Linked DNA regions of Schizosaccharomyces pombe. The protein of the gene in region 3 interacts with the protein of the main gene of each other region in a pairwise test. Each region holds a gene or a part of one and is shown on either strand. Other genes may lie near its edges.

The links. Proteins that work in one complex are often made in the same cells at the same time.
Region 1: the proteins of spk1 (region 3) and sin1 interact in a two-hybrid assay, tested with the Schizosaccharomyces pombe proteins (one large-scale study listed by BioGRID).
Region 2: the proteins of spk1 (region 3) and ifs1 interact in a two-hybrid assay, tested with the Schizosaccharomyces pombe proteins (one large-scale study listed by BioGRID).

What each region holds. Positions count from the first base shown.
Region 1 is NC_003424.3:4,744,602-4,752,259, reverse strand, and holds sin1 (MAP kinase-interacting protein Sin1), read left to right. Parts: upstream 1-3,832; 5' UTR 3,833-3,971; coding exon 3,972-3,994; intron 3,995-4,037; exon of another isoform or gene 4,038-4,053; coding exon 4,054-5,937; exon of another isoform or gene 5,938-5,976; coding exon 5,977-6,067; 3' UTR 6,068-6,160; downstream 6,161-7,658. Other genes in the region: DNA-directed RNA polymerase II complex TFIIS subunit Rpb9, read left to right, coding at 36-102, 226-275, 318-450, 526-576; mid2 (septin ring organizing protein), read left to right, coding at 1,001-3,121; transcription factor TFIIE subunit Tfa1, read right to left, coding at 6,161-7,120, 7,249-7,390, 7,432-7,527, 7,570-7,658. UniProt on the Schizosaccharomyces pombe protein: Component of the mechanistic target of rapamycin complex 2 (mTORC2), which regulates multiple cellular processes to control cell growth in response to environmental signals.
Region 2 is NC_003424.3:5,382,285-5,389,075, forward strand, and holds ifs1 (Maf-like protein Ifs1), read right to left. Parts: upstream 2,977-6,791; 5' UTR 2,870-2,976; coding exon 2,726-2,869; exon of another isoform or gene 2,475-2,725; coding exon 2,346-2,474; exon of another isoform or gene 2,247-2,345; coding exon 1,923-2,246; exon of another isoform or gene 1,800-1,922; coding exon 1,671-1,799; 3' UTR 1,421-1,670; downstream 1-1,420. Other genes in the region: CHD family chromatin remodeller Hrp3, read left to right, coding at 1-366; proteasome receptor/ubiquitin ligase adaptor Dss1, read left to right, coding at 809-839, 946-987, 1,028-1,170; RNA-binding protein Rnp24, read left to right, coding at 3,599-4,708; SPOM_SPAC3G6.05 (Mpv17/PMP22 family protein 1), read left to right, coding at 6,302-6,679, 6,736-6,791.
Region 3 is NC_003424.3:2,997,307-3,005,291, reverse strand, and holds spk1 (MAP kinase Spk1), read left to right. Parts: upstream 1-3,773; 5' UTR 3,774-4,323; coding exon 4,324-5,442; 3' UTR 5,443-5,448; downstream 5,449-7,985. Other genes in the region: RNA polymerase I termination factor, Myb family Eta2, read right to left, coding at 1,526-3,235; hem4 (uroporphyrinogen-III synthase Ups), read right to left, coding at 5,449-6,204; tetraspan protein, claudin Dni1, read right to left, coding at 7,135-7,839. UniProt on the Schizosaccharomyces pombe protein: Involved in mating signal transduction pathway.

The DNA of each region.
Region 1 (7,658 bases), 1.7 Mb from region 3:
AAAATTGTTTGAAAACACTAACATGAAATAAATAGGTACCCTAGAGAGGATAAAGTGGATCGTGTTCTGAGGCTAGCTTGTCGTAATTGTGATTACTCAGAGGTAAGCTTGTTTTTTTCTCCTACTGGGTTTATTCACTTCAAGAAAAAAATTCGAAGTTCTTTTCGATTACTTTTTTCCTCATCATTTGGAAGTTTTAAATATCTCATCAGCTAATTTGTATAGATCGCTGCTACTAGTAAAGTTTATCGCCATGAGTTACAAAGCTCCAATGTGTAAGTTAGATTTCATCCTTCGAATAATCACTAAATTTGTAGAGAAAACACGACGGTCAGTCACGACGCTTCAACGGACCCTACTTTACCTAGATCAGACAAAGAATGCCCGCGTTGTCATCAACATGAAGCAGTTTTTTATCAGACTCATTCTCGTCGGGGTGATACTATGATGGTGTGTTTCGCATTGTTTCATTGAGAAAACAATTTTAATATTTAGGTTTAAAAACAATTTTACTGACTTAATTAGACTCTGATTTATGTTTGCGTACATTGTGGATTTGCTTTTGAAGAACAGTAATATGCGACAATTCGGTCTAACAAGGGATTGTAAAACTAGCTGCGTCCACCAATGGCTCTTAGACTTCGGTTTAAATGATCCGCTTGATGTAACCACTCTCTCGCTTCTGTGCTGGAAAACTGGATTTTCGAGTGATACCAGCCACCTTTGCCGAAAATGGATTTACCAGCCTCTCAATCATATGCTCGCCTCCTTCCTTTATATTAAGCAACGCGCCTACCAAAACACTTGAATTTCTTTATTTCACATTCGGTGTACCTTCTGGAATATACTGAAACTGTTTCAGTTATTTGTATACAATAATCCATACGGAATAGCCTTGTAATCCGAATACCAATTAAATAAAAACCCTTAATTCTTTGTGCCTTTATTTTTTTTTATATTCTAATTTCAGCAGAGCTGTTAAATTCCAAGGCTTTCCATAATGTTGATGACTGCTTCTCAACAGGATCAGCATGCTAAAATGTATTTAGCTGACATCCATAGAGCATTGAGAATTCCTTCTCCCATCCCAAGTACTGATTACGAATGTTCTGACTATGCCTCTACAATCGCATCGATATCTCGAGAAAGTACAATGAGAAATTTTAATCGCAGTAACATCTCGTCTACGGCCCCTTCTTTTGCTGAATCTGAGGATGCTGAAGATGGCGATAGTTTCCCTTATGATCAAACGTTATCAAATTCTTCCAGTTTTGATGATCATCAGTCTCTTCTTCCTTTTTCTACAGAAGTTCGTAGGACCCCAACTTACTCTGTCATGAATGAAACGGATAGTAGTAGTACAAGTGTTGAAGACGTAAACAAAGAGAACATACTGTCATTGAACGATTCATGTTTGATCAAATTATCTGATGATGAGGCTTCAAATAAAAGCAGTCGTAGCTCGACTCCACGCAACTCGATAAAGAGTAATTCATCTAACCAGGGCCATGGCGACATACCAATTCCTAAAAAAAATCCTGCTCGTTCCGTTTGTAATTCAAAGCTTTTTAACGAGGACACATTGCCAGCTGAATTTGAAGAAGTTTCAATTTCACCACCTGTCAAACTTGAGTTACCTACTCACTCTCATAATTCATCTGACACTAGTTTTACGAACAGTATAGTTAGCAGTGTTAGTGACATGGTTGGTCTTGGCGAAGGTATAAACAGTATTGCATCTTTTGGTTTCTCTGAAGATTCGTCCTCGTTCCAAGATATAAAGACACCTCCTCGCTTATCATTCGCAGATGAGAACCGAGAGAATTGTAGGACTGATATCTACCGTTCAGATTCTATTCATGAATACGAAGAGCCACTTACGAGCTCCATCACCTCTTTAGATTCCCCTCATGTTCTTGACGAAAATGCTCCGATACCGCTTCTTCCAAAAGTGGTTTCTTTACCAGATCCTCGCTTTACAAATGTTCTTTCAGCCTTTGACGCTTTGACTAGGACATATTTGCTACGACAGAATTCTAAAGTTGTACATGCCACTAGTCAGAAACAAGAAATGCAAACTTCGCGGCGCGTTGTCAATTCTTGTTATATGCCAGAATCGTTATCGCGAAATTTGTCCAGTAGTTTGCAACAAACCGGCGGGAGTGGAAGATTGTTTGTCCGTCTTATGGAAATCAGAAACTTAACTATTCCTTTGGCATCGGGGATGACCACTAGGTTCACTTATACAATCTCTGGTAAGCACATTCAAGTACCATGGAACGCCTTACACTCTACTACTAAAATTGAAAATGAGTATACTTTTGATGAAAGTATTAGTTCTTCAATTGTATGTACGCTCCGTGCGGCTTACGATCCACCTAAGGTTCGCACTCGTTCTACACTTGGAAAAGTATTTTCAACAAATAAGAGAAAGTCTATGACTACCGACCCCGTTTCAGAAGCACTTCATGGATTTGTTTCTGAAGATGGAACTTTCGGCGAAGTTACCATTAACACTGATTCTGTAAGCCGAACCGCACTAGGCCGTTGTCAATCTATGGTTCTACCAATCATGAACAAATGGACTGTTGATCCGGCAGCTAAAGATGTCAAGCCTCTCCCTCGAAAAGTAGGAGAACTCGAAATCCACGTATTTTTCTTACCAGCGCTTCCTGTCTCTCTGAAAGAACTTCCCGCTTCAATCGAGTCTGCCATGTATGACTTAAAGCTTGCTGAATGGGATAGAACTTTATTGTGTGATGGTTATCTATGTCAACAAGGTGGGGATTGCCCTTATTGGCGTCGTCGCTATTTTCAATTAATAGGATCAAAGTTAGTAGCTTTTCAACAATTCTCTAAAGTTCGCAGAGCAACGATTGATTTGTCTGAAGCCACACATATCGTGGATGACAACCATTATAGTGATGAAGAAGAACTAGAAGGGTATCTGTATTTCGAATCGGGTTTCCGTATCATTTTCAGTAATGGGGACTACATCGATTTTTACGCTGAAACCGTCGGCGAAAAAGATGAGTGGATGTCTACACTTCGTCAGCATTTGGGGCAATGTTCAATGGTTCACAAAAATTGGACCAAATCATTTCTTTCGCTGAGTTTTTAAATTGACCATTTGCTTCGACCTCACTTTTTCTATTTAAATCACATTTGGTCTTTATCTTCTCCTTTATCTATATCGTCTTGCATTTTTCATTGGTTTTGTTGTTTCCCTCGCATAATACATAATGTTCATTTTATCTACCATCGAGAAGCTAGATTCGGTTGAAATGAGCTCGTTTTATATAAGCTGTTAAAAATCGGATAGCAATTACTTACTACTCCCCATGTATATTTATACTTCAGTTGCAAAATACTTCATTTTTGAAAGTTTCCCTTGATCCGAAGAAACGTTGTCAAAATAAGTTGTCTCAAAACGTTTATCTTGGCTTTGTAAATAAATCAAATTCCTTAAAATACTCTAGCTTGGCGTTGTCGAGTGAATTTATTAAGTCGTAAGCTTGCCATTTGAGAAACTTCAAAAAATAAAAATTCCACAATAATTTAATTACATTATTCTGTAAATAATTAATACCGTAATTGCTATATAGTTCAAATACCATTTTTAGCTGTTTCGCAATATCTAAAACGTATATGAGATCACTTTTTTTCATTGTCTAGCGTTTTTGTACTTCAGTTAATAACTGTTTGAATTAATAGTTTCGTTCATATTTTGCTGTCTTTTGAAATTTGGTGGTACTTTACGGTGTTACCCCCAACACTTAATTAAATGCTTAGCGGGGGATACATAGCAACTGAAATAAAGCACGCGGCGTCCGTCACCAACGTTTCACATAATTGAGTTTACAAATTTTCTATATTAAGGTGCCATAAAAAGTATGGTCGCTAAGTATTCAAACTTCGTTGAAATTAAATATTTTATAAAGTCTGTAAATGCGATATAATAAGGACTCAGAATGGAATTAACAAGAGAGAAAGTGTAAGGATACTATTTTTTTTCCTATGAAACTTATACAAACTAATACGTTTATTTTACAGTCTTTTGTTAACATTTTTGCGAATGCAATATTCTCATATACTTCCTGACTCAATCGAAAATCGAGTTATATCTACTGAGGCCCCGGAATGGGAATTGGACAAATCATTGCAAGACTTGTTGATTCATGATTATGATTATTCTAAAACTTCGTTTTCTTCAAGTCCCCCGATTGTCGCTAATGACACTGTATCCAATGTCCGAAAGCCGAGTGATACTAAACAAGTAAATGGTGCTGGGGGTCAAGTTAATCATTCTCGAGCTGAAGATTCTGATTATGCTACTTCTGACTTATCCGAATCTTCAGATGTGGGTGATGACGATAACTCGTGTATATTTTCTTTTAGCAAAGTCCCAATGCAGAAGGATGTTGCAAGTATAAAAGAAGAGGAAAGACTGGACCCCAAAATTTCCACATTAAATAATATTGATGCTATCGCAAATCTTAAGCTTACCAACATGGTAGAATCCTCGCAGGCAGTGAATTTAACCTCGTCCAAACAGTCTTCCATAAACCAGCAAAGCAGTGTTTCTACGGATTATGATGATCTACGGTCGATTTCTGAGGAATCATTTCATTTAAGTCAAGGAGAAATTCCTCTTACTTTTCCAATGAATTCTTCCTTAACTGACACTGAAGCTGATGCAGTTGTTGCGGTTGATGCTCTTTTTCCTGGTAAGCAACGCGGAACACACAATACAGTCAATAAAGCAAGATCTGTTTCGAACGCAAAGGCTCCTACATCTGCTCTTCGTGCATTACTTGAACATAAAGAAAACAGTAGCCAGAATGGGCCATTGGCTGAAAATTTTGCTACTTTTTCTGGACATGCAGAATCAAATGCCCTCCGTTTAAACATTTATTTTCCTTCGAGCGAAAGTCCTTCAAAGCCCTTATTTGTAGAACTCCGAAAGAATGTTTTGGTCTCTGAGGCTATCGGTTATATTTTACTTCAATACGTTAACCAGCAACTCGTGCCCCCAATAGAAGATGAGGCTCAAAATCCGAATTATTGGAATTTACGTATTGTTGAAGATGACGGGGAGCTAGATGAAGATTTTCCCGCTTTGGACCGTGTAGGTCCATTATCAAAATTTGGTTTTGACGCATTTGCTTTAGTTAAAGCCACTCCTGCCCAAATAAAGGAAAATCAAGCTGCCTACCCGTTTAAATCGAAGCATCCAACATCAATTCCTGAAGCCAATAACAAAACGCATATTCGGCATACTAGTTCAACTTCAAGTCAATCACAAAAGCAAGCTCAGGATGTCAAAGATACACTTAATACTTCTCATGTCGTACAGGTACGACTTCCCCCATACGGGGATAATGCTCGATTTTGCAATATTGAAATATCAAAAACTACTAGATTGGCTATGGTGTTGAACCAGGTGTGTTGGATGAAGCAATTGGAGCGATTTAAGTATACTCTGCGAGTTGCTGGATCTGATACTGTTTTACCACTTGATAAAACATTTAGTTCACTAGACGGAAATCCAACTCTAGAACTTGTTAAAAAGAAGGTACGCGATAAAAAAGGAAGTACCCAACAATTGCCAACCTCCTCACCACAAAATTCCGTTTATGGATCTATTAAGAAAGATGCACAATCTTCAACATACAATGCAACAGATATTATGTCGAGCAATACCTATCAAGAATTTCTTGTATGGAAACGACAACCTGTTTCATTTATGGGAAGACATGAGCGTCTACTAGCTATTGATGGAGAATACGTTCACATAATGCCGTCTGAATCCAAAAATATATTTGAAACGCCTAAGACGTCCAGTATACATGCTGGATCGATTATTTTATGCAAGCAGTCTAAAAAATCACCATGTAATTTTAAAATGATTGTGTCCAAGAATAGGGAAACTAAGCGGTAAGAAATTTTTTAACGCTAATAAGCTAACGAGTTCAGGTATGATTTTGAAGTTTTGTCCGCCTTGGAAGCTGCCATTATAGTTAGCAGGATACGTGCACTGATGAATACTGTTAAAAAAATAAATTAACATTTATTTATTACAAAAAGATTCTATGAATACATAGGTATAAACACCTTTGTTTTTTGGTATCACATTGCTCTCTCCCCTATGTCATTTTTATTAAACATCTTCAAAATCAGCTTCATCTTCATCGTCTTCATCGTCCTCATTAAATCCATTAATAATAACATTCTTTTTACTTTCTTGCATTTCCGTATCACCATCAGTAATACCATTTGTAGAAACAATAGGTGGTAATGAATTGTTTTCTTCTATCGATTTTGTTCTTTTATTTTGGATATCACTATCTGAATTTAGGTTCTCGGTTTTACGCTTGACCGACCCATAATCAGTACTTTTGTTTTGAAGAGAGGTAGCCGTCGTAACGTCTAAGAAGTCATCATCCTCCTCATCATCTACGTTTTCACTGTCCATAAACTCGCTTTCCTCTTTTTGCTTTGCACGAAGTGTTGCGTAATAAGCATCTAAGGCGCTCTTTTCAGAAGTAATATCTGTTTTAGTGTCTTGAACCTCATTAACAGTTTCAGTTCTAAAACTATGAAGTGCGGCATCTTTAGCTCCAGCACGAGTAATGGAGCCAGAAATTGTTGATGTTGCATGCCATTCGGGAAGAATGTTTTGAGCAGCTTTGACTTGCTTGTCGCAATTCCTTTCACGCTTTTCATCAGTCTCTTTATCAGCAGAGAAATCAACTGTAATAGATGGCGAAGAGGTGGAAAGACGGACGTCTGAATTACTTTTTGACAAGTTTTGTTGCGACAAATTTTGGGTGTCTAACGAAACAGGAACCGCATGTTCTAAAGCAGATTGGAAATTGTTTTGTGGTACGACAATTTCATCCACCCTTTTCAATGCATCGATTATACCATTAACTTGTCCCATCAGTTTTCCTAGCCTTTTCTGACTAGACATCATTTCTGCACTCTCCTCATCGTCTTTGAGTTCGGTTCCACAAACGTTACAAGCAAAAGTTCCCTCGTTGGTCACCAAAGACAAAACGTCAAGGCTAGAAAACTTTTTGTTGCAAAATGGACAAACATAGCCTTTAGAATCGAAATCCTGCTAAGTTAGTGAAAGTGACGATAATAAGAGATTCGTAAAAGTAGTGGGTAAAACACTAAGCAAAAAGAAGGAAACAATATGGTAAACCTTTTATGAAAAAAGGCCCAATTAAAAAAGGAACTTACATTTCGCATTCGATCTTCTACTGTTTTCACTAATTGGTGCATACGCCATTTAATGCTGTCAATCGTAGAACAGAAATCGATATAGAAATAGGTTGTATGATATTGCCTTTGTTGGCCTTCCTTCATTTCCGTCCTACTTTGACTGAAAGGTTAGCAGCTGGTCATGGAATTGCCTTCACGTACATTGCCAATAAACGATCCTCGCGCAATTTTCCAGCAATAAACCGACATTCTTTTATAGGGATACCCATTAACAGCGCTGTTTGCTCATCTGTAAGTCTACCAAAGGTTAAAATCGTTCTGATCTTGTGAAGCACGTACGCTGAATGTCGCAAAATCGCATCCATAAATATTATATGTCTAGTTTCGTAAAACGCCCTCATAATCATTTTTATAAGTCTCTGTACTAT
Region 2 (6,791 bases), 2.4 Mb from region 3:
GAAACACCTAGTAGGGAACAGTCTCGCAGCCAGACAGCTTCACCCGTCAAATCTGAAAAAGACGATGGTAATGTAAGTCTAAATGCTGAACAAAAGGCACGCTGCAAAGAACTGATGTATCCAGTCCGTAAGCATATGAAAAGACTTCGGAAAGATTCTAGTGGGCTTGGACGCGCGGAGTTGGTGAAGTTACTTACTGAGTGTTTGACAACGATTGGAAAGCATATTGAAAAAACTGTCAATGATACACCCTCCGAAGAAAAAGCTACTGTTAGGAAGAATTTATGGATGTTTGCATGTTACTTTTGGCCGAAGGAGGAGGTTAAATATACCAGCTTGATCAGCATGTATGAAAAGATGAAGTAGATTTTAGCCTGTCATACAAAAGCCAATTTGTTTCTTCATTTTTCATCCGGAATATTTTAGGTTTGAAGCTCGAATATGTTTATCTTTTACAGTCTTCAATTTTGATTGCTACATTTCAAAGATCACTAAATTCTAGTCTAAAAATCGTTTCTTATTGTACCTTTAATTATAATGTTAATAAACCCTGCATTTCAAATCTTGACTTTAGGAAATCCTCCGGTATTCAGAACATAGAGTCAGCATAGATAAGAATAATCCAGTAATACAATTTGTTTTTAATTGAAATATCAATGGCAAACTGCTATTTATTAGTCTGCAACTTTATGCAGTTTGTAAATATAATAGTGTAACTCAGTAGACATCGTTACCAGTGAAAAGTTCATTCAAACATCACAGTACGGCAGGGTTCACCTTTCACACCAAATCACGTTTATAAATTAGAATGTCTCGTGCGGCCTTACCAAGCTTAGAAAGTACGTTACAAATTATTTAGAGTGGCTTTCGAGTACTATTTATTCGATATGCTAATGTCTATGATTTTTTCGTTGGCCTAAAGACGTTTACTAACATAATGCTTAGACCTTGAGGATGATGATGAGTTTGAAGATTTCGCAACAGAAAGTAAGTACTTTTAAAGAAATAATTATTTAACATCAAAAAGATTGGCCTATGAAAGATACAGAGCTTGATACTGGAGATGATACGCTATGGGAAAACAATTGGGACGATGAGGACATTGGAGACGATGATTTTTCTGTTCAATTACAAGCAGAGTTAAAAAAGAAGGGTGTTGCCGCCAATTAAGATATTGCTTCTGCCAGAGTGTATATCTCCGAAACTGCCTTCATCCCTCAGTATAATTTTAATGCATTAACAAAACGATCGAATACAGGTTCTTTCATGACTCTAAGGTTTTGCTGGTTCTGTAAATACGGTGCAGATAGATATTCTTGTGTTGAAGATTTTTACGTTTAAAGAACTTCAACTTGTCCATATCTGTAAATTAGGTCTATGATACTTATATACGCCTGAATTGATTATATTCTAACAATTACCGGCGAAACGGTACTGCCTGTATATGCGAAATGAAGATAAGCTAGAAAATGTAAAACCTATTTGCATTACTATAGACAATAGCAACCCATGATTGTTCAAATGATGATCATTTCAAATGGTCAAAAGAAGAGACGCGTAGTTAATATGTAAAGGAATTTAAACAAAAACATTGAAGTGTATGAGGCAAAGATGAAGGTGCCTGGGAAAATGAAACGCAATTGTCATGAACTTAATTTCTTAGAAGATTCTTAATCGTAATTATCAGCATCTCCTTGTTCTAAGGCTTCTTCCATCAACTTGAAAGTAGCGCGGATAGGCAAGCCTACAACATTGGAAAAGTCACCTATGATAGACTCAATCAATAAGGCGCCGTGACCCTAAACTTAGTCAGCAAAGTCATGCGTAAAAATTTAAAAAAAACAAAAAATGCTATAATTCATTATTTGAAAGCACGCACGGTTCAGGCACTTCCATCACCCTAAAAACAGCCAAAAACATACCTGTATAGCATAGCCTCCGGCTTTATCTGAACCTTCGCCACAACGAACATAAGCTTCGAGAAATTCGTCAGTTATGGAAGGGTCAAACTTCACCTGAGTTTCTTCAAGGTGTGTTTTCATAACATAACCTGGATGAATAGGCACTTCCATAGGCACAATAACACTGACAGCAGTAAATACTTTATGGGGTGTTTTAGAATTTCTGAGCTTTTTCAGCATGGCAAGGTGATGCTTGGGATCGTTGGGCTTCTCCATAATCTCAGAATCCAAAATCAATATAGTATCGGCGGATACAACTATGTCTGGTGAATCTTCTTCGGCGGCCTAAGTAGAAAAAATGCGTTAATATAGAAAAACAAGACAACTTTAGAGACTTCAGTGTGAAACTCTCTGTAAAGAAAAATTTAAATTAAACATCCATACCAGTTTCTCATAAACTGCAATCGCTTTCTGTACCGAAGTGTCAGCAGCATATTCCCAAGGAGTTATGTACATAGATTTATTTAAATCTTCGGGGAATCCGGAAACGCAGGTTTCAACATTAGGAAATCCCTATTTTAAATCAACATTAGTTTACGAACACGACCAAACGAATGAAATTAAGAGACGAACTCCAAAACTTCTAAGTAACACAAAACAGAGAATCATAAATAAGAATAATTTATTAAGATACAACACAATTTTTACGGGCAATGCTTCATGGAAAATATAATAACGACAGCAATTGATACTTTTTTTAGGAAGCAATTGCTTGGGTAGATTACATGATTCAAAAAATTGTCTCCATTTTTTATTTTTCTTACCATCTGTTCAAATAACTGCTTTCTGCGAGGGGATCCTGAAGCCAAAATAATCCTTTTATCTTTTAATTGACGGTGCATTGACGTTTCCAAAGTAAAATGAGAATCGTAAGAAGGAGGAGACGTATCCATTTTTTCGTTGCTCATTTTGAAAATATAAAGAAGTAAACTTTGAAAAATGATTTGAACTCAACAAATTTAACTCAAAGTTGTTTTTTGCAAATTTTGTGTTTCTTTTTCTATTACCAATAGGTACGGATGCAACGAAGCACATAAACATTTAATAGTGACATACAATAGGACCCCATATCTTTCGAGCTCGCTATATTGTACAGTCAAAGGTATTAAAAAAATGTGAATTGTATACGAGTAAAAAAAAAAATCAGGACCGATTTTAATGTGAAGAGAAGCTTTGAAAGAGATTTTTCGCATGTATTATGGCGTTGGTAGCTTCTGCAGTCATTTTTTTAAGCACGGTCTAATGACCTTCCTTTATTTCATTTTGTAAACATCAAACATAATAAATCTAAGCAAAATTGCATATTGAAATAAATCACCATACCGCAAGCAGCACGCAAGTGTATTCGGGAGTAAATTGTTTAATCTTTGGCATCATCGTAACTATTGCAATATATTATAATATAAAATAAATGAGTATATGATGTTTATAATATCAATTTTAAATCATATTATGGAGGTATGTGAATCGCTAGTAAAGCCTCTTACCTATATAGATTTTGCATCCTTATCCATTTTATTAACAATATTCTTACAAATTTGGAGACCTAACAGATTGAGATTTGTATAAGTCTTCTCCATTATTTAAACTAAGTTTTGAGAAAAAGAAAATTTTTAGCTTTTGGAAATTGCTTGCTAATGGAACCAATTCAAAAAATGGACTCCTTAAATAATAAGGAAGGTCAACCTGACAAAAAAAGAAAAAAGCATGAGTCAGAAAAGGAGGGTGAAAATGAAGTTCTCGAAATTGATGTAACAAAACCCGTTCCCCCTTCTAAGAAGTTGATGCGAAAGCTTAGAAAGGCTGGTAAAATTGACAAAGACGGAAATTGGACACCTGAAGCTCTTGAAGAAGCTAAAAAGAAAGAAGAGAAGAGATTGAAACGGCTGGATGCTAAATATGGTAGGAAAGAGGAAGGTGAATCACAAGAAGAGAGCAAAAGATCACCATGGGGTATTTGGGTGGGTAATTTAAGTTTTCATACAACGAAGGAAATTTTAACAGACTTTTTTGTTCGGGAGACAAGTGAAATGATAAAGGAAGTATCTGAAGAAAATATTAAACCCATTACAACCGAACAAATTACTCGTATACACATGCCCATGTCGAAAGAAAAAAGATTCCAAAACAAAGGTTTTGCATATGTTGACTTTGCTACTGAAGATGCGCTTAAGCTAGCTCTTCAATGTTCCGAAAAGGCTCTCAATGGTAGAAACATCTTGATCAAGTCGAATACAGATTTTTCTGGGAGACCAAGCAAGCCAGCAAACACTCTTTCCAAAACTGCATCTATACAATCATCTAAGAAGGAGCCTTCCTCGATCCTTTTCGTTGGCAACTTGGATTTTGAAACCACTGATGCCGACTTAAAGGAGCACTTTGGTCAAGTTGGCCAAATTCGACGTGTTCGCTTGATGACCTTTGAGGATACGGGCAAATGTAAAGGCTTTGGATTTGTTGATTTTCCAGACATTGACACATGTATGAAAGCTATGGAACTTGGCCATAATAGTTGGCGGTTAGAATACGGAGAAGATCGGTCTAAAAGGATGAGGAACAAGTCCCCAATGGCTCGCTCTGGTCGATTTAATGATGCTGAATCTTTAGGTCAAGAGGACAAACCAAACTTCAAGAGAGCTAGGAAGATTGACCCGCGTTCTGTCCGTCCCGGTGCAGCATTAGCGAAGGCTCAGCGATCCTCCGCTGCTATTGTTGAGCCAGCTGGCCAAAAAATTAAATTTGATTAATATAACTTATGAAGGAATACTCGATTACGTTCGTTTTTAGAAAAAACTATTTTGGGTCAGGGCATATTAATATAAAATATTTTTCATTTATTGTCTTAGTTTTTAATTAGCAATGCTATATTTACATATTACTCATCGTATCACATATATTGATACTTATTGCATTAGTATTTATGAGTGTGGATAAGCTTTTGAGTAGGAAGGTAAACTAGAGAAATACTATCTCCTTTTGTGGCTGTTGTTTATGATGGCATCTTTGCCCATATTAATTATCTAAAGCAACTAAAAAGACCATGAACTAATAATGACCACCAGTCACTTATTTTCCATGGCCTTGCTTTTTTTGTTTACGAATTTAACAGTCACATTTACTGATTGGATTAGTAATTTGAATTTTTTATTCGTTATATCTTTTAACAACCTAATATCCCATTTACTAGTATAAATAGGCGGCGCCCTCGTAAACTCCACCAACACCATAAGATTTAGTCATTCATTGTCTGAATATAAATAGGTTAATATTGATGGTATGTCGAATCCTAAGTTGCAAATAAAAGCAAGCCTTTTACCATGATGATTTTCTTCGTTAAACCCAGCTCACTCGGAGTATTTACATTGACGAGTACGCGAAGTTTTTATTTATCTGAACATTGCTATTGCACAGAACTTTTTTATTTGAAACGTATGCTAACCTTTAATAGAAAAGTATTAGCATATTTATAAATCTTCATTAATAAATTATATAAACATTAGTCTTGCTTATACGATTAGCTTGTCTGAATTTTCGTTTATGGTAGCTTCCACACGTTGTTTTGTACTTTTAGTTTAGGCATGTAGTGTCTTCTAGTAAAAAATATAGACTTATTCACAACGATGCAGTTTAAGTAAGTTCGTTTATTACTGTTTAATTCCAATAAGAATCCTAAAAATTTCAAATTCGGGCGTGGGAAATGTTTTGGGCGCTAAGACTATTGATCTGCTATGATTGTCTTGTTTCGTCTTCTTTGTTCATTTGGGAGCTTGTTTCCTGCTTCAAGAGACAACGGACGTCAATTTTTGTTGTATAATGCTGTTTTTTTGCTACAAAAAATTCTTGAAGCAGAGAACTAGTTTGACTACAATTTCACCCACGGGCCCGCTTCTTCAATAAACGAATTTTCAATTGTAGATGTACAGTGATGCTATAGATCTCACAGTGAGATAATATTAGTATAAATAGATGACTGCAGAAGGTGTGGATGATTCTGTTACAATTTCATAAGTGCTACAGTGTGAGTGTAGAGCAACACTGAACCTTGACAATTTTATAAATAAAAAAAATTGATTTTTCGCAACTATTAAAATCTAAACCAGGGAAAACATAAAGCGTTGACCGAACATTTATATACTTCACTATTACGTTTACGAATCTGCTTTCTACCAACACTTCTCGCAATTCCATAGTTTACATCAATTTGTGATATAAACTAAAAGAAACTAGAAGTTTTGATCCTAAAAAGGAAATTTGAAAATAAAATTTATTATTTATACTAGCATTGGGTCGTTAGATTTTGAATTGCTTTTGATTGAGTTTTTTGTCCCTCATTATCCATTATGTTTAGTCGTTTTGCAACCCGCTATAACGCTCTTTTTGAAAAGGCGCCGATTATGACTATGTGTCTAACTGCTGGTACACTGGGTGGAATATCCGATGCTGTCGCCCAAGGCTTGACCATATACCAAACAAACAAAAATGCGATGATTGGTTTGGATGGCGTGAGATTAAACACTCATCCTGAAATACCTAGTATTAAAAGGGTTCTTCAATTTGTTACTTTTGGTTTTGCTATTTCTCCATTTCAATTTCGGTGGTTGCGTTTGCTATCTGCTAAGTTCCCAATAGAGAAAGGCGCTATTAATGTCGTGAAGCGTGTGTTATTGGATCAAGCTGTTTTTGCTCCATTCGGTACTGCCTTTTTTTTCAGTTGGATGGTAAGTAAAAATTAACTTGCATGTTTATGTATATCAATACTAACACTAAACCGCAGACTCTTGCTGAGGGCAAAGGTTTCAGGGGCGCCTACGATAAACTTCAAGCTGTTTT
Region 3 (7,985 bases):
AGTTCTTTGCAAAGGAAAAAGCTAATGTACGACAAGGCAAAGTAGCTGTTCTTTGGTTTACAATGCTTCAATCATACAACCGGTACAACTTCACTTGCTGTTAGTTTATACACAAATTTGCTTAATTTAATTTTGTTGTCCAACCTTTTTATTCGTCAAAAAGACGCTATTCGAAGGTGACAACGTTTTGCTGCTTAATGCAACACTGCGGTTGGTGAAGGAAAAGTTGAGTCAAGTAGGTTGAAAGATAGTTTATATGTGCGAGGCTTCGGTTATGTTAGCGAGTTAAATTTTTAAAACTCAAAAAAAACCTAATACGGTAAATATTCCGTAAATCCCTTACCCAACGCTAATCCCGATAGTTTTAGGCTGGTCTAACAATTTAATAAATATAATTATTTAGTTTCCGCTGCTAGATAAGATTCAAGGTAAACTTTTTCCCCAACACTGTTGATACGCCTTTAATGATCAACAACAAGATTACTTTGATTATCAAGTACAAAGTACAATGGAATATATTTTCAATCCAACAACTGCGTTCAAAACCAAAACCTGCCTTTCCAATATTTGAATTTTGTTATTCTTTAGTAGGGACCGGTTCATAAAACCGTTCGGGCCATTTCTTTTCCGACACTCAATTACTTTGGGATGAGTTAAACAGATTTAAAAATTTCAAAGATTTTCCGGCCCTTTCAGTTGTTAGTTGAAATGCTAAAATAGAATGTCCAAGGGACTATCAAAGAAATCTCGGACCCCGAACTATACTTATTTTATTCTTTTTTTTTTTTGAGTTAATATTAGCCGATGAACCGTTGAACGTGACTTGTTTTAGTAGAGCCGTAGCAGTGTCGATTGTTTCGTTGGCCACCACCAAACCATTCATTTTTGCATCTATTATCCGTCATTATCAGGGATGAAGTAAGAAATAAGTTAGTAACCATACGATCCATGCTTAGATATTAATTAAATAACGAATATACATTAAAAATTTAATAAATAAATAAGCGGAAAGGCTCGGAATGAGGCTGGTTACAATGCACACGTGCATGTTGCAAATACATCGCACTTAATCGGATTAAGGTAGACGAGAGAGGATATCAGGTAACCAGCAATTGGAACAAGTATGAAAAGAAAGTAATTTAGATTGGCAACAGTATGTCGAGAAGTAAAATGATTGATGGGTTCGCAAATGAACCTAAATCAACAGTATCCAGTATGTGGAGAGGAACCAGGTGACTCACTCTTCTTCTCCATTGCTCTGCCATATAAACTTTAATGCTGCAGAATTCTTGTGTAGGTACGTTTTGCAGGTAGACGGGTTCGGTTGCTCTTGAAGTGCAGTCCAACTATTTTCGCCCCTGTCGCAAAAAGAGATGAGAAATATCATTATATTGTGTGGGAAAATTGAGACAGCCAAGAAAAACATTCAATATGACCTGGGCAAACGTGACATACCAGCAAAAAAGATATTTTTTGACTATTTTTTCTTGCGCACTTATTAACGTTTCGTCTGCAATATTTGTTATTATACGTCAGGAGGAAGACTTTTCAAATCTGTAATTGCGATTCTCACACTCTCACTTAAACGTGTCTTTTTCCAGCCGCGAACACTCGCTACCAAATTTGTGGCTTGCGCTCTCAATTCCTCCTCGGACCATTTTGGCATTTGCTTGACAATGCCTTTCCAATCAATGGCATTTATGGAGATTGCTTCTCCGCATTGCCTTTGTACATGTTCTAGTAGTTTTAAACTATCCGCGACGTAAAATTTGCGTTTACCCTTTGATTTCTTCTTTTTTCTCTTCTTCCTTTTCTTCCCTTGATCCTCCTCTTGACGTTGGTTAGAAGAATAAGATGCGATTGTTTTTTCGTACTGTTTTCGACAGCTTTCCGGCGACTTAGTCCCAAGCTTCTTCGATATGCTATGCCATGCAATGGAATCAGATGCCGGTATTTCCCGTTGTATGTTTGAAGTAGTGTGATTATTGTGTGTGAAAAGGCTTGTCATTTTTTTTGTGTGAAAAGACGACCGGTAAGAAGACTTTACCAAGTCTAATAGCTTTGCTTCCTCTTCATTCGTCCATAATTTGCGCCGATCAATTGTTTCCTGAGTACTAGTACCTACAACAAACCTCCATTGACTCATGCACGCGGCAGGTGACGTTCCCAGTTTGTTCGCTATGCTGTTCCACCGCGTTCCCTCTTGTTCAACTAGGGTGTACAGCTTTTTTAGCTCACTTTCCTCCCATGCATTCCTATCTTTCGGATCCAACGGCTTGTAGATTTCCTTCAAATAACGAATAATTCCTTTTCTTGAAATAGAAGTAGGCAGCAATTCGCGTAGTTCGTTGTATAGAAAGTTGATATTTGTATGTCTTAAGCTTGAAGAACTCATCCGGAAGCCAAACTCTTGTAAATCTACGCCTTCATTATTACAATAAGACAAAACTACTTTTTGAATCACTTGTGCGTCTTCTAGAGAAAAATTAAGTTGCGAATCCTCTTCAGCAGCCAAGCTTCCAATGTCTATCTTTTCGTAACCGGCGACTTGAAAAAAAGCACGCATGTACTTTAGTAAACTATTTTCTTTTCGATTCAGAAAAGATGCTACTGACTCTAAAAACCCTTGAAGTCGACTCCCAGCATGTTCGTCTTCCAATATCTCGATCATTTGCTCCCGTGATATAGACCGAATCGTTAACAATTCATCAATCCTTGCTTGAAACCACTTTTCATGCTCCTCTGTCCATGCATCCTTTCTTTTCTTTGCATTGAAAGAGTTTGTGCTTTCAACTTTGCTTTCAGAATCGTCAGAAGAGGATCGCGCAATTTTACGCTTTGATGCATGATCACTACATGTTTTGACAACGACAGAGGAAAGTGGACTATTTTCCAATAACTGTCGTGTAGCTTCCATACAATCTTTATGGTCATCTGACACAGGCTCACTAGTTCCTCCTAAGGAGTGAGCACGTGAAGGCTTATGTATAAGTGACCCCATTTCAAACTCAAACTCATTATCTTCATCAAATTCGTAAACATCTTTTCTTTTCATAGATTTCATTAAACTTCCAGGCCGAGATTTATTATTAGTGATATTGAAGGTATTGTGATCTGTAAACATAACGTCTCTTTCTTGCATTGCACCCTTACTGCTACATGAAAGTGTAGGACTTTCCAAATTTGAGCGTGTTCCCTGGTTTTCATTTATTGTCATGTCGATAGCTAACATCATTAATTTACAATGCCTTCTAATAACGGGTTAGCCAATTCATGATGAAGTAAGGACGCCAAGGGAAATTTATGAATGTTTAACTATTTTTGTTTGAGAGTTTCAACGGATTTATCTATTTTTTTTCATGCTTTTTAAACTTTCATAAGATTATTATTACGAGAACATAAAATTAAACAACCATCATACGGTTTCTGTTCAACCTCTTCAAGAACCCATTCAAATATCCTTGCATAACCAATTGTTTCTGCTTACCTTGTAAATTAATTATTTCGATTTAGATAGTCTTAAAATATTGCATTTCTTTGCCTTTAATTTCTGTCGTGGTAGATGGAAGGTTTGTAAGTTAGTGTAAACAAAGAATATGCGCGACGCGTCGCGCACTTAAAATGTGTGTTACTTTTTTGATTTCATGTCACTCATCGTTTCTTTATTCTGTCTAAAGATTCGTATCTATGAAGTTTCTGGGGCAATACATTAACAAAGAAACTTTCTTTGTTATTGTAAGTTATAAATGTTGACTAGTCCAACCACACTACTTAACAATTACCAACAGCTTTTCAACAGTTTTGGAAGGGCAATTGAGAAATTGCTAGAGACGGTTTTGAAGGACGCTTTTGCAATTCCCTCAAGGCATCTTTGCTTGGCAATATTTGAAGCATCATTTTTTTATTGAATAACCATTGTGGGCCTTTAATCTCAATTGCGAAGATACATTTGTCTGGTTTTTTGAAATTCTTCCCTTTTACGATTTTTGTATATTTTCTATTTCTTTTGTTATTCCTATATTTTATAAGCTTGCAACCTAATATTTGTATTATTGTTGCTAGCGCCTGTTTTTGAAGTGCTGCCGAACGTCCTTCTTTCGCATTATTTAATTTAATACTAAACTAATTTGATAAAGGGATTTCTAATACATCCTTGTCTATTTCTGTCTTTGGCTGGCAAACCGACTTTTTTCAATATTGTCGGATTTAAAGCACAAAGGATTGCATAACATAATTTATTACAAAGAACGTTGTAATTCTTTTTAATTCTATTTATCTATTCATATCGCTTCATTTCTTTCAAGTTTTTCAATTTGTAGTCTAATGGCGAGCGCTACTTCCACGCCTACTATTGCGGATGGGAATTCCAACAAGGAGTCAGTAGCTACAAGTCGAAGCCCACACACGCATGATCTAAACTTTGAGCTACCAGAGGAATACGAAATGATCAATCTCATCGGTCAAGGTGCTTATGGAGTTGTATGTGCCGCGCTTCACAAACCCAGCGGCCTAAAGGTGGCTGTTAAAAAAATACATCCTTTCAATCATCCTGTGTTTTGTCTAAGAACTTTAAGGGAAATCAAGTTACTCAGACATTTTCGTCATGAAAATATAATTTCAATTCTAGACATCCTTCCACCACCGAGCTACCAGGAATTGGAAGATGTTTATATTGTACAAGAGCTTATGGAAACGGATTTGTACCGTGTTATACGTTCGCAGCCCTTAAGCGATGATCATTGTCAATACTTTACGTATCAAATTTTGCGCGCTCTGAAAGCCATGCATAGTGCTGGAGTTGTTCATAGAGACCTGAAGCCATCAAACTTACTACTAAATGCCAATTGTGATCTCAAAGTTGCCGATTTCGGTTTGGCACGTTCCACCACAGCTCAAGGCGGAAATCCTGGCTTTATGACTGAGTATGTCGCAACTCGTTGGTATCGAGCACCGGAAATTATGCTGAGTTTCCGAGAATACAGCAAAGCTATTGATTTATGGAGTACTGGTTGTATACTTGCTGAGATGCTTTCTGCTCGACCATTGTTCCCAGGAAAGGACTATCATAGTCAAATTACTTTAATCCTTAACATTCTAGGAACGCCTACTATGGACGATTTTTCAAGAATTAAATCTGCACGTGCGAGGAAATATATTAAAAGTCTTCCATTTACTCCTAAAGTATCATTCAAAGCACTCTTTCCTCAGGCATCACCAGATGCTATTGACCTTTTAGAAAAATTACTGACATTTAATCCTGATAAGCGTATAACTGCAGAAGAGGCTCTAAAGCACCCGTATGTAGCTGCTTATCATGATGCCAGTGATGAGCCTACAGCATCCCCCATGCCTCCCAACCTCGTCGATTTATACTGTAACAAAGAAGATCTCGAAATACCGGTATTGAAGGCCTTAATATTTCGTGAAGTAAATTTCAGATAAAAAGCTTCAACTAGAATTCTCCTCATCAAAGGCAACTATGCTGGATGCCAAGCTCTCTGGATTAGGTGCTGGAGATACAACGTTCGGTTGAGTTCCCAGCTTCTTTAGATAATCTCCAGTAGTAGGTCCAATGGTTGCGATCTTTAATTCAAATGTGTTTAATAAAGAGCAAATGGATGTCGGACTGAATGCGACAATCCAATCAATTGTAGGATGTTTTCTAATCGTATCCTTTATTTGGGTTTCTGTATTTTCTAATTCTTGCGTAGCATATACGATTAATGAATCTACTCTGTCGTCCCCCAGTTTTCTTTGAATTATATCCCTATGCTTTTCCCCTACAAGGAAAAGTAAGGGCTTATGTTGTTTAGTCGTAGTATACCACTCTTCAATTAAATCTGCCAAAACCTCACCCCTTCCACAGTCCTTTCCATGTGTTTGCTGAAAACCGAGACGTCGAATACTATCATCAGTCGCCGGACCTACTGTAAATATTGGTGTTTCCATCAATATTTTCTGCCTCTCCGTTTCATCTTCTTGTTTTAATGCTTCATCCAGAGTTTCGCTAACTCGTTGACTGGTAACGATTAAACCACAATAAGTTTTACGAACGTTTTTTAATTTATCTCTAAGCTGTTCTTCGTGAACCCTTTTGTGTCTCAGCACAGGAATGAAGGCTGTATCTCTTCCATATTTTTCAAAGGCCTCCACATATGGATCGAAAGGCTGTGATTTGGTTTTCAATAGCAAAGCAGTTTTCATGCTTTGTCTTTACAATTTGAGAAATGTAAAAAAATAATTACAGTGTCATCTAGTTCCTCAACCTATTCTACGCTTATTCTGACCAGTGAGCAGTAGCACAATTTGGCAGATGGAACAAACATGCATCTTTCCACATCGCTAATCAAATCATTAACTTAACTCAAATTTCGTAAAAAATAAATACCGTCATCGGTTGACAAATTTTTTAAAAAATGAAATGCTTCTGGAAAAACGGTAAACGATAGTTTAAAAGTATCTGATCAACATTCATCATTATGCTTAAGACGCTACATTCTACTCCGAAGTATAGGGTTGATCTATCATTACAAAAATTTCGTTTATTGATGGTAGGAACTAACGCAAAAGGGAGTTAGAGTGTGTAATTGCTTTACTGAATAATAATCAAGGCAGAAATCATTTAATATCTCTTTTAATTTCTTTCTATCAGCTACGATTGTAAGATACGAAAAAACTGTTACAGAAGTATACAGTTGATCAGATTTATGCAAAAAATCAATTGAAGAATGTATAATTTGTAAAGATGCGTATGTATATAGGTTCTAAATAAAAAGACTATGGAAAGAGAATGTATATGATTGTTTTAATCGATATTAGTCATTGATAATGAAATATTAAACAGCTTTATCTTGACTTGAATATATGAGCTTTTGACATGAAAGTTTCAAGTGCGGTAAGTAGAAATGAGTGCAAAAGAGAAATGAAGTAAAGTGCAGTGTGAAAACATATACATAAATAAACCAAGATGAGATTAATCGTAAAAAGAGGCGTTAAGAAAATCATAAAAAAAGCGGAACGTGAAAAAACGTAAAAACAAAAAACAAGTACAGATGAATACAGTTGCCATAATGTAATATAACAAGGTGAGAAAGGTCATATCTTCTCAAAACAATAATAGTTGAGGCGCATAATTTAATACTTTGTTGTTGAGGATTTGCTAGAAAAGGATGAACTAGGGGTAAGGACTTTGCTTTTTTCCAGTATCGTCTTACGAATCTTCTTGGTTCTTGAAGTAACCAAAAGAATAATAGAATCCGTGATACCTGTTAATGTCACAAGTCCCATAGAACACCATAAAAAGATCATAGCCTTTTTGCCTAGAGATGCAGTAACTCGATTTTGTGTTCCATTTCCAACAGCCATCACAAAAGAGGAGACAGCAACGTGAGCAAACAAAGCAGTTACTAGTATACTAAAAAAGGAGAAAAAAGAAAGGCTTATACGAATGTTTCTCAGGAATTCCAAACGCCCTATTAAGGGAAGGCTGGAAACAACACCCATAAGAAATGAAACACCGCATACGCAAAATGAAAAGACAATCATCCAAGGGTGAACTTCATTGATTAGAAATTTAGACCTTACATCCGTTAAGCTAATGGAAGTCAACCCAGGACAACCAGTAAATTGAGGTTTGCAGATCAGCGTCGCATTAGCAGAAAGTACACACATGTTAAAATACCCAACGTTAATTTGGGCTACGTTAGTTGCAAGAGAAAACAACTGGAATTTCGAGGTGGTACTAGATTGGCAACCTGTCATTACTAGTGCAAGTAAAATCCATGCAGCTAATGTGCAAAGAGTTCCAGTTCCTTGTACAACTGAATGAAGAAACAGCATGGTGATTAAATGTAGATGTTTGTTTGTCCTTGATACAAAAACTCTTTTCGTCAACTGGTTTTTTTGAATGAATAGGTTGAATGTTTTTTAAAAAAAGGTAAATTATTTGACGTTCGTGAAAGCCTTCAGTAAGCAAAAATATAGGC